Linked DNA regions of Caenorhabditis elegans. The protein of the gene in region 2 purifies or fractionates together with the protein of the main gene of each other region. This does not show direct contact. Each region holds a gene or a part of one and is shown on either strand. Other genes may lie near its edges.

Evidence for each region.
Region 1: the proteins of pab-2 (region 2) and Y37F4.1 fractionate together in Caenorhabditis elegans (co-fractionation; one large-scale study listed by BioGRID). This does not show direct contact.

What each region holds. Positions count from the first base shown.
Region 1 is NC_003279.8:10,856,175-10,861,461, reverse strand, and holds Y37F4.1 (BAR domain-containing protein), read right to left. Parts: upstream 3,376-5,287; 5' UTR 2,817-3,375; intron 2,654-2,816; 5' UTR 2,471-2,653; intron 1,951-2,470; 5' UTR 1,915-1,950; coding exon 1,843-1,914; intron 1,782-1,842; coding exon 1,503-1,781; intron 1,216-1,502; coding exon 1,077-1,215; intron 1,030-1,076; coding exon 843-1,029; intron 802-842; coding exon 693-801; 3' UTR 664-692; downstream 1-663. Other genes in the region: Y37F4.5 (START domain-containing protein), read left to right, coding at 1-203; Y37F4.2 (Sec-independent protein translocase protein TatA), read right to left, coding at 3,842-3,942.
Region 2 is NC_003284.9:13,521,549-13,527,559, forward strand, and holds pab-2 (Polyadenylate-binding protein), read right to left. Parts: upstream 4,276-6,011; 5' UTR 4,272-4,275; coding exon 3,941-4,271; intron 3,918-3,940; exon of another isoform or gene 3,711-3,917; intron 3,549-3,710; exon of another isoform or gene 3,547-3,548; coding exon 3,234-3,546; intron 3,187-3,233; coding exon 2,424-3,186; intron 2,375-2,423; coding exon 2,126-2,374; intron 2,080-2,125; coding exon 1,657-2,079; 3' UTR 714-1,656; downstream 1-713.

The DNA.
Region 1 (5,287 bases), on a different chromosome or scaffold from region 2:
GGATGAAATCTTGGATTGAGAATCACGACATTTTCCAGAAATTCTATACATCTACGCGATTGACTTGTCCAGATGACAGAAGAGAACACTGGTACAAAGCGGGACTACAAAAATTGGCTGAAATTCGAGAAACTCTGCAGGAACCAGTCGCTTGCAAGTCAAACAAATTGGATAAGAAGAAAGATGGAAAAAAGGAGAAATAATGTCGAGAAGGTTGAAGCACTGAAGTAGACTATAGCACTTGAGAGAATAAAATGTGATTCATTTCTGTTCTGTTTTCAGCGTAAATTTATTGTTAAAGCTAGGGGTGTTGTGTGGGACGTGATGAGCCACCCCATAGCAACCTTAGCTATTCAAAAAACGTTTCCAAAATGCCATTCGAAAAAAGTGAAATAGCGGGCGAATGTTGAGGCGATGGAGAGGGATAGAATCCGGGTTGCGCGGCAATTGCGTTATTATGGGAGAGATCACATAGTTTCTACATCTTTTCACTAAAATTTAATGAAAAATATTGGGAAAACACATCTCTGCCTGAAATTGTAGAATTACCCGTCGGCAATCGCCGCGCACCTTTTGGTGGAATCAGGGGTGCCTTGTGGCTGATGTGGCTGTAAACTGATGACTAAAATCAAATATAACACATTTGAAGTTGCAAGCAATAAAAATCACATAATTCTTTATTCGGACAAGTTTCATTTGGATTTCAATGGCTTTTCTTTACTCTTTGGCAGTGCTCTATCATCAAATATTGGGATAGCTTCAGCAATGGATTTGTGGAAGAGAATTGAATCGTCACGAAACCTTAAAATTTTTTTTTTTCGGGGAGTAGTTCCAAAACTTACTTCAAAACTGCATCCGCGTGTTTCCCCTTCTGCTCATTAATCGACTTATTGATAAAGTCAATAACCTTCTGTCTGCACTCATTCCTCCATGTCTGAGCATTTCCCGCCGCGAGTTCGGCTTGCTCCGTTCGCTCCTTATTCTGCTGACTGATTGCGTCGTCGTAGGTTTCCAGCGAGAGCCAATAAACTGAAATTTTTTATTTAGATTCATATTATAGACCCTTTTATTCTTACTCTTTCGAAGCCTTGCGTACTCCCAATAGTCGACGCCAATGAATTTTGTCAACGCCGACAAGTTTTCCAGATGCCTTTGGACTTGCTTTGCTTGTATGGAATCCAGATTGAGCAAGGTTTGGATAGCCGGTTCTAAGCTCTGAAATTTGTGTCCTTATTATCAGGTGCCATTCCATAAGCCAAAAAATTGGGGAGCCTAAGCCTGATTACCTGGGCTTAAATGGTTTATTTGAAAAGCCTAAGCCTACATTTTAACATTTAAAAGCCCTTAGCCTAAATTGTTAAGCCTAAAAATCCAAGCCTAGAAAATATACCAAATTTCTTAGGTGCAAAAAAGTCGTTCCAACTTCCTCGATTTTCAACAGGATTCGCTCTAGAAACTGAATGTCGCGTCACTTTTCTGATCAATTCTGCAACTAAACTCACATCCATTTCTTTGGGGTCAACCTTCGTACCCAACTTTCTTCCTTTCTGATTTATCGCCTGATACGTCTTTAGATACTGCCCAGCGTACTGATAATTCGTATCAGCTTTCATAAGTTCCTGATTCTCAACGAACATTTGAATCAGTGCCTGATGAAGTCGATCTGCGGCTTCTTTATAAGCTTCAACTTGATTGCAAAGCTTCTTCACGTCATCAGTCATCGAAAACAAGCGATTCTTTTTCTTCAGAATCGACGAAAATACACCGTGATTTGGATGGTCCTGAAAACTCTCTTTTTTTTTCGGTTTCGGATTTCGGTTTCGGAGGCATCCAAAAACTTACAGCTAATCCATAAAATAATTTCTGAGCGATTGGCTTTTCATAGCAGCTACTCGTACTCTTCTTGTTTGCCATTAAAAATATAAAATAACTGAGATTGAGATTTCATGTCTGATAAACAAGTATGTTTGTCATCATAAAATGTGTCACGTAACAAAGCAATTTAAATTAGTAATTTTTTGTTTTATTTTTAACATTTTTTAGAAAATATTTGTGATTGAAATTTTGTGAAAAAATTTGAAATTTTTGCTTACTATTAGCTCCGTGTTTTACCAGTTAAATTGCTCCAAAGGCGGTTTTTGAAATTTTCTGTGGAAACTTTCTATTCAACAAAAAATCTAAACAGTTCTCTGGAAATTGTTCTATAGTTTTATGTATTATATTATTTAAAATTTTTATTATTTTTTTATTATATTATTTTAAAATCCGGGTTTGCAGATTTTATCATTTTTAAGATTAATATAAACCTACTGATTGACAAATTCCAAAATCTTAAATTTGTTTAACTGTACGCTTTTTAACATTTTCATACTTCTTGAACAATTTCAAATCATTTTTCTAGACAAATTTGCATGAGGCTTTCCCTATATATGTATTTTGAAAACTAAAATATAATATAAAGCGTTTATACCTTTTAACTACAGTATCCAAAAACATGATAAATATAGAAATTTGGATAACTTTTTGCTTTATTATGAAGCAATTTCATTCAGAGTCCAAATTTTAATTCTCCCACAATATTCAATCAGTGGCCGCTTACACATTAGCAGTGAAATGTTAGTCAGCAACTACATATCCTGTGGTCTGAGATAATCTGTACATGGAAAAATTAATCTAATTGTATGTAAGTGTCAAATCTTTCCCTCTTTGAATATGATATTTGATCCTTATGATTCAAACCAAAACGTTTCCCTTCTTTTCCTATTCATATGATTCACGCCAACCCCAATATCATTATAATTCGATTAAAAACAGACCTATATAAGTTCCTTCTTTTATATTATATTATATAATACCAATGCTTCCTTTCTAGATGTAGACCGCTATCTTCCCCTTTTCTTCTCTTTAATTGTAATTCAGTATTATATTCTTCTAAATAAATTAATCTCAAGAATTCATTTCTTGATAGTAAGTAAATAAAATAAATAATTCAAGCAGAAACAGACGACTATAGCATGAAGCACCCCCGGAAACCAGCAGAGGATGCAGAAACAAAGGTTGAGCCAAACTGACAGAGAGCATCTTTCCTCTTTCACGTAGACGGCGATTGGCGGAAAAATTAAAATGAGCAGAATGTAACAACACGGGCCGGTTTCTTTCATTTCAGCAAGATAGTGTTGCACAAAATATGAAAAATTAAGTTGTTTGGACAACCTTATATACTGGAGGAGTCTGTTAACGGTCATAAACCGGTGCCACAGCTTATGGTTAAACATCATGCAAAAACACTTTGATTGTGTGCTAAAGCATTTATTGAGTCGTTGCTGTGCCAGACGACGAGAGTCTTACTTTCGTCCGGCGCCAGCAGGCAAGGTCTTTCTCGACTGAGGATGTTATTCTCTAGTCGGCTTATATACTCGTGAGGGCGTGACGCTCCCTGCTCAGAGGCCGCGTGGGCGTTAGAGTCATGCGCTTTATGCACGTCTCCAAAGTCCACTCAGTGCAACATGAGAAGTGATCATAGAACACTTCCACAAGTCTATAAACTTTCAGCATCCGTGAAGATAAACTTTTCTTGATTTCAGATATTTTTGTTTAATAATTTGAACTGTAGATTTAAGAAAAAGTAAAATAAGTGCAAGATTGCTTTCTAAAGGGATCTCGAACTTAACACAATTTGGACTTCTTGCTGAAGTTATGAATTGATGGGTTTACCCTGCAACTGAGCCAACGCAACATTTTCAGTGCAAAAAACACATTTTTGGTTTTTTTTATTTCAAAAAAATATTTATAACTATCAACAATGTGACTAAAATAAACTTATAAATTATTTTTTCAGCAACTAGTAGTCTGATTCAGAACTATCGTCTTTTTCATCCGAAACTTCGTCCGGTTCCGTTGGATTGCCCATTAGCTCAGCTATTTTTCGAATTTGCTCTATTTCTGGAAAAACTTTATTGAATTATTGGGACTAAACTTTTAAAATTAAAAATCAAAAATCAAAAAACTTTTTTTAAATCGATTTTTCTACATACCATTTCTTGAATTGAGTATCCTTTTTCCTACATAGCAAAGCTTTTTAAAAGTTCAAATTTGTTTGTAAACCTTCAATTAAAAAAAAAATTTTTAAGACTAGCGCACAAAGTGCGCTATCCCTTCGGGAGTGGGGATAGGGTTATTTCGCTCTAAAGTATCAACAAGGTAGCTGGCGCAGGTTCTCGGCTTTGCCTCAAACCTGTGTTGGGGTTAAGTGTGTTCACCTTGAAATTCAAAATATATTCCAAAGATTTGTTTCTAATTTAATATTTTGAAAAATCATTTAGCGGCTCCGGCGCTTTAGTTTTCAGTTCCTCTAAGATTAAAGAAATATTCTAAGGAGTTGTTTCACATTGAAATATTCTTAAAAATTATTTGGGCGCTAAGTTGAATCTTCTCTAAGATTAGAAAAATATTCTAAGGAGTTGTTCTAAATTCAAAAATTCCTAAGAGTTATCAGCGCCTTCGGCGCTGAATTTTTCAAAGTTTCTGAAATAAAGAAACATACTAAGGAGTTGTTTCTAATTTAAAACTTTGAAGACTTATTCAGCGCCTTCGTCGCTGATTTGAACTATTTCTAAGATTGATGGAATATGCTAAGGAGTTGTTTCTAATTTAAAAATTTTGAATAATTATTTAGCGCCCTGGGCGCTGAATTTTCAGTTTCTCTAAGATGAAAGAAATATGCTGAAAAGATTTTTCAATTTTAAAAAGAAAATGTAAAAACATAAAAGATATTTCGAAAACTTTGATGAGGAGATGAAATGTTAGTTTTTTTTCATAACTTTTTCATTTTTAAAGCTGGAAAAAAATCTTACATATTTGAATTCAGCGTCAAATTCTGAGTCTATTAAAAAAAACAGAATTAAAATTAAACTTAAACAAACCAATTAACAAACGCTCAAAGTTGAAAAATCAAAAATCAAAAAAGGCATTATTTTTCTATTCGGTCGATTATCTCTGTGATGTATGACTCGATTTTCAAAATTTTTTTCGTCTCTCGCTTAAGAAATCTTCAAGGTTTCATATATTTGGCTCAGAATCAGAATAGCTCAAACGACGGCAAAGTTATGAGAGGGAAAAAAAAAGTTTTTGAACAAAAAATTACAGTACACCTACCGTTTACCACCTACAGTACCCTACCGTTTATCACATACAGTACTCCTACAGTATAATATAGGAAGAAGGCAGAAACATCTCAAATCTCAAAAACCCAATACTGAAGCTGCTAAAAATTCATCTGCCCGGAATC
Region 2 (6,011 bases):
AAATTGTAAGTTACAATTTCCGTGATGGAGAGTAAAAAATACTAACTTAATACAAACTTTCAGTTCAAACAGAAAATCTGAAATTTTAGGCATGTGGCTGACCGCACTTTTTTAGATGCAATATAACCGATTATTTGTTTTCATATTTACTTACATTTCATAACTTTAAAATTGATCCTGAAAATCAGTTTTTTTGATTGAACTGAAAACTTCTGGCACCTGGAAAAATTTTGTTATTAAATTCTGAAAGCGCTTAGAATTTGAAACAAGTCCCCGAAGAAACATTTTCAAAAAAGTTCATTTTAAGTCAGATATTAATTTTCAAAGTTACACAAACTAAATAAATCTCCTAATAAACAAATGCGGTCATTTATATGGCTCAAATTCAGTTTTCTGGATTGAACCTAAAACTTCTGGCACCTGGAAAAATTTTGTTATTAAATTCTGAAAGCGCTTAAAATTTGAAACAAGTCCCCGAAGAAACATTTTCAAAAAGTTCATTTTAAGTCAGATATTCATTTTCAAAGTTCAGAGTTCAGAGGTAAGAACTTGTTCAGATTTTTTGCAAATTGATCAAATTGAAGAAAATTGATTTTTGATGCCGCATTATGTTTTGTTATATTCAAGTAATCCTGTTGTTATTAAATATCAGGTCACCATTATTGAGTGTTTCTCCGCATTTTGAAAGTAATTTTGAAAATAGAACAGATGAGTTCCTTTTATAGATACATTTATCATTATTTAATTCAAAAAGTTTACAACAAAATTATTATAATGATAATTAGAAAAATTCTGGGGAAAACGATAAGATGTTGGGATATCGGAAAAACCACAGAATGGATGTATCAATTGTTATGTGGGTACAAATTGGGGTACAAAAGAAAAATTTTAGGTTTTATGGGAGGATGGGGAGGGGTGAGAGTTGCAATAACTTATATAAGTGGGAATATACTTATTAACACAAAGAGCATATTATTAGGCGGGAAATGACAAAGTTGCACATTGTTGCACAGAAATATCAAAGCATTCAGAAAGAAGCATCTAATTTCAATGAAATTGCTGGCTGGCGGGGGTGAGACGATTTGTTCTGAGCTTGGGCTTCGGAGTACATTACAAGGCCGAACAAATTACCATGTTAAAAATTAGTTGCAATCTCTAGGTTTCCAAGTTTTTGATGAAAAAAAAAAAAACACCGAAATTCTGGAGAAAGTAACAAAGTACACATAAATGTTGAATTGGATTGAAGTGAGACAAGAGAGAGGACCAGAAAAGAAAAAATATTTTTTTTTAGGGATTTTCAGATGAAACTATACACATTCGTTAAAGAAATCAGCTTCAACGCAGTTCAAGACAATTTTAAATACCAAGCAAGAAATGTGAAATTGAAATAAAGAAAAATAGAAGCATTTTTTTGAATTTTTTGAATTTTTTTCCTTTTTTTTTAATTTTTTCTCCAGATTTTTAAATTTTTTTGGGGTTTTTTGTAAGATTATTTGAAGAAAGTACAATAGGAAATGGGAAGGTAAAAAAATTGGATGAGAAATTATGAAATGCAGAATGAATACTGCTTTCAGTACCAAAAAGTATAGCCAACAATTTTTGCTCTGAATATCAGAGAATATTACGACCTTGGCATGCAAGATGAAGTTAGAGAGCTTAGTTTTTAGCAGTTGGAGCAGAAGTAGAAGCAGCAGCACTCTGAGCATTGGTGAGCACTCCAAAGGCTTCCTCGACCTTGCTTCTGAACAACTCAGCGTCTTGGAGCATCATGATCAACTCGGCGTTGTCAATCTCCAGCATCATTCCAGTGATTTTGCCGGCCTCCTTGTGGTTCGGGAACATCTTCTCGATAAGAGCATAGATACGCTCTCCGAGAAGTTGCTTTTGCTCTTGTGGAGCAGCTTGAGCAAGCATATGGGAGGTAAGAGTCTCCTGTCCGTGAATAACGATTCCGGATTGTCCTTGTCCTTGTTGTCCTGGCTGTTGTGCTGGTTGCTGGGAGTGCTGTTGTGGTTGTTGCTGGCGTGGTGGTCCTTGGTAGAACGGCTTCTGTGGTGCTCCGCGTGGGGCTGGTCCTTGCTGAAAAATAGAGAGTAGTATTCATTTTATCTGGATTAAAGCTTACTTGACGAATAGGTGCCCCTCCCATCTGCACTCCAGGTCCTCCGACACGTGGTGCTCCGGCTGGTCTTGGAGCCATTCCATATTGTGGACGACCATCGTTGGTTCGCATTGGTGGACGTCCCTGTTGTTGTGGGTAAACTTGGCGCTGATTGAATGGATATTGCATGAACATCTGGTTTTGGAACACGCGTTGTCCTGGTGGTCCGCGAATTTGAGCAGATTGTGGCTGGAATCCTGGACGCCCTTGAGCCTGTAAATTAAGAAATTAAGACATTTGAATTAACTTTGTAGAAACGTACATTCATTGGATTTGGAACAAAGTATCCTTGTTGTCCTGGCTGGTAGAGCTGAGTCATTGCTGGAACTCCGCTGGCCTGCTGTCCCATGCGAAGAGTTGCAAGTCTTTGCATGTACTGAGATGCCAACTGAGCACGACGATCCTCCTTGCGTTGAGCAAGGGCCACATACAGTGGCTTGGCTCCAATCATTTTGGAGTTCATATCAGTGACGGCAGCGGTTGCCTCTTCTGGCTTCTCAAAGCACACGAAACCGAATCCCTTCGATCTTCCGTTCTCATCAACCATAACTTTAGCAGAAGTGATTGTTCCGAAGGAAGAAAAGTGATCACGAAGACCATCATCGTTGAGATCTTCCTCAATGTTCTTGACGTACAAGTTTACTCCTTGATAACGCTGGACACGCTCTTGCTTCAAAGCTTCGTACTTTCTCTTGAGCTCTGCAGAACGCTCAGACTTCTTTTGAGCTCTGCAGACTGAAAGCTTGCAGTCAGTTCCTTCCAAAATGCTGTCGTTGAGTTTTTCAACAGCTTGACCAGCGGCATCCTGATCAGCAAAAGCGACAAATCCAAAACCTTTTGGTTTGCCTTGCGCATCGGTCATCACTACGGCACTAGTAATCTCTCCAAACTTGGAGAACATTGCGGAAAGCTTTTCCTGGTCGAGATGCTCGCCGAAGTTCTTGACGAAGACGTTGGTGTACTTGAGGCCACTCTCTCCAAGCTCCTTCATGCGTTGTGCGCGAGGTTGGAATTTTCCGACATAGCTGAAAATTTAAACGATTAAACTTGCAACTCAATAGGGTAAACTTACACTTTCTTATCAGAAAGAAGCATTCCATTGACTTTCTCAATGGCAGTTTGCGCAGAGTGCTCAGTCTCGAAGTGAACAAATCCGTATCCTTTGCTGTTTCCTTCATCGTCGGTGGCAACTTTGCAAGACAAAATGTTTCCAAAAAGCGAGAAAGTGTCGTAGACGGACTTGTTGTCAATGACACGATCCAAGTTCTTAATGAAGATGTTTCCATTTCCGGCACGGCGAGCAGCAGGGTCACGTTGGGACCACATGATACGCATTGGACGTCCGTGGATGACTTCGAAGTTCATAGTGTCCAAGGCGCGCTCGGCTGTAAGAATTATTATATTCCATGTGATAAATTGAAATAAACATATTTTTATGAGTTGTCTTCCTCATTTTTATATAACAAGCATTCAAATTTTCTAGCACCTGGTATGCATTCTATAAACACTTGTTTCCCACAGACTACGTCATACTGTGACGTGGCAACTCTTCTAGTGGCTCTCTTTATTGCGCAATTCTGCACAGAGAGATGTGTGAGCAGAACGGGGACTGTTGTTGCGAGGTGAGAGAGCACGGTTTGGTACTGGTGTGTTCATGTGATATATGTACAACGTCCCCTGTTGTGCATACAACAATCTTCCCTTTCGCTGTGCATTGCGTCTCAGATGTTAAAGAGCTATCTCACAAAATTTCTGAATTTAATCAAAATGCAAACTCACCATCAGCAGGCTGCTGGAAGTTGACGTAGGCATACCCGAGCGACAAGCGGCTGGTATTGTCGCGGCACACTCGGATTGAAAGCACCGGTCCCGCCATACTGAACTTCTCGAATAGCATAGCCTCTGAAACATCGGGATGAAGATCACCAATGTAGAGTGAAGCCATCGAATAGGTTGCATTTGGCGGGTATCCTATGTTTGTTGGCGGTGGACCCTGCTGAATGACGGCTTGTGGTTGTCCGGCAACTGCACCGGCGACGACGGTTGCTGCTGCGGTCGGTGGTGGAGCACTGGTAACCACTTGAGTCATTGGCGGTGGAACTTGGGCCATCGTACTGAAAAATAGAAAATTGCTAAAAGGACGAGAGCAGGAAAATGTATTGTGAAACCAAATTCACATAAGAATGAGCAAAATGGGAGAAACTAAAGTGACTGAACAAGGGAAGGCGTGAATGAAGGCAAGTAAGAAAAAAGGCGTGCAGCCCTCCTTTCCTCATCTTTCGCCCACATTTATAAATGGAGTGGAAATTGGGTGCAATGCTCAAATGCCCTGGCGTGTCAACGACGTATCTTTATTGTGTTGGAATGGGCATGAAAATTGCTTTCTACTGTATTTTTACGAGATTATAGAAATCCATAAGGAACATGGAAAGTCGAACGTAAAAAGATTAGGATGTGAAACATCCGATGCTAAGGCAATAGGAAAAGAAAAAAACATCGGAGTCAATGATGGAAAACCGGGAGTGAACAAGGAGAAGAAGCCCAGCCAACACTCTTTCTCTTTTTCTTCTTTTTGCCCCGCTGCTTTTTATCGTCTATTGAATATATAGATATATTGCTGTTGCAGCATGGGCCTGCCTCGGGAGCGAGGGGACGACGAACGATCGCGTCAGGCGCAACAGATAGCGACAATAGTTTTGCGGAAGAAGAAAAAACCGAGAGAGGAGAAGAAGAGAGTGAAACGAATTAACAGGAAAGGAAACCAAAAAGAGTGGGAGAGAATACTGTAGAAAATGTATAGTTTTATGGATGATTCTAATTCACTCGTGTATTGACAATCGCCTATCGAATTGATTGGTTTTTGATCTCCCTCCCCCTTACTATTCTTCGCTATCTGTTCAGGATCTACTGTCGTCGACACAAGCCTCACCCTCTTCCTTACACCACGGAGGAAGAAGACGATTGATATTATCTGAGCCGCTAGAGAAGCAGGACAAGGAATGCGGCTGTGTTGTGATGATTGGTGGCGGTGATGATTCGACAATAACTAAACGGACTGCGGCGAAAGGAGAGGAGCGAATGAGGGGCCCAGTGAGATGATTCATGCATTCTCTTCAACTGCCACAACATATAAACATGACGGTTTTATGGCTGCTTCGCTCTCGCTCGGCGCCCTCGTTTTTCAATTTTTGACGTGTTGGAACCGAACGGAAACAAAATTGGAAAACAGAATGATAGCGAGCAAGGAAAAGGACACCTATGTTATTGTATAGAAACATGTGATTCTGGGCCCTATTTTGCCTATTTTTATCATTTGCAGTCTCCGTCATATGGTGTTTTTGTTCGATAATTGCGAAATTTACAGAGAAGTGAGAAACACTTATTGCTAAGTCTGAATATGGGAAGAGCTGAAAGACGTTCGATAATGATAGGACAGGTTTATTGAAACTTGGTTGATGAGTATTCAAGCATTTCTACATATTTACTTCAAAAAAAAACTTACTTCTTTGTTGGTTCGTTTGCAGGTGATGATTTCCAATCAGCAAGAATATTAGTTGATGTTGAGTTTTTTTTTTGGTTTTTGTTGAAGTTTTTGATTAAAGTAGTCTAATTTTTTTGGGTTTTTTGGGGAATTTAAAGGTTACAGTGGAGGGGTAGATAGTCTCTCCGGGACACAACAATATAGACGTGTCAGTCGTGTGTGTGTGCCTAGTCCGTCCGCGTCGCTCAGCACGCTACGCAGAGAGGTCGCAGCAGAAGCGAGAGATGTGATACGCAGAGTCCGTATGGGCGGTTGGAGGGGAAGCGAAAACGCTGCTGCTGCCCCCAACAGGCAGCGTTGGTGTCCGTT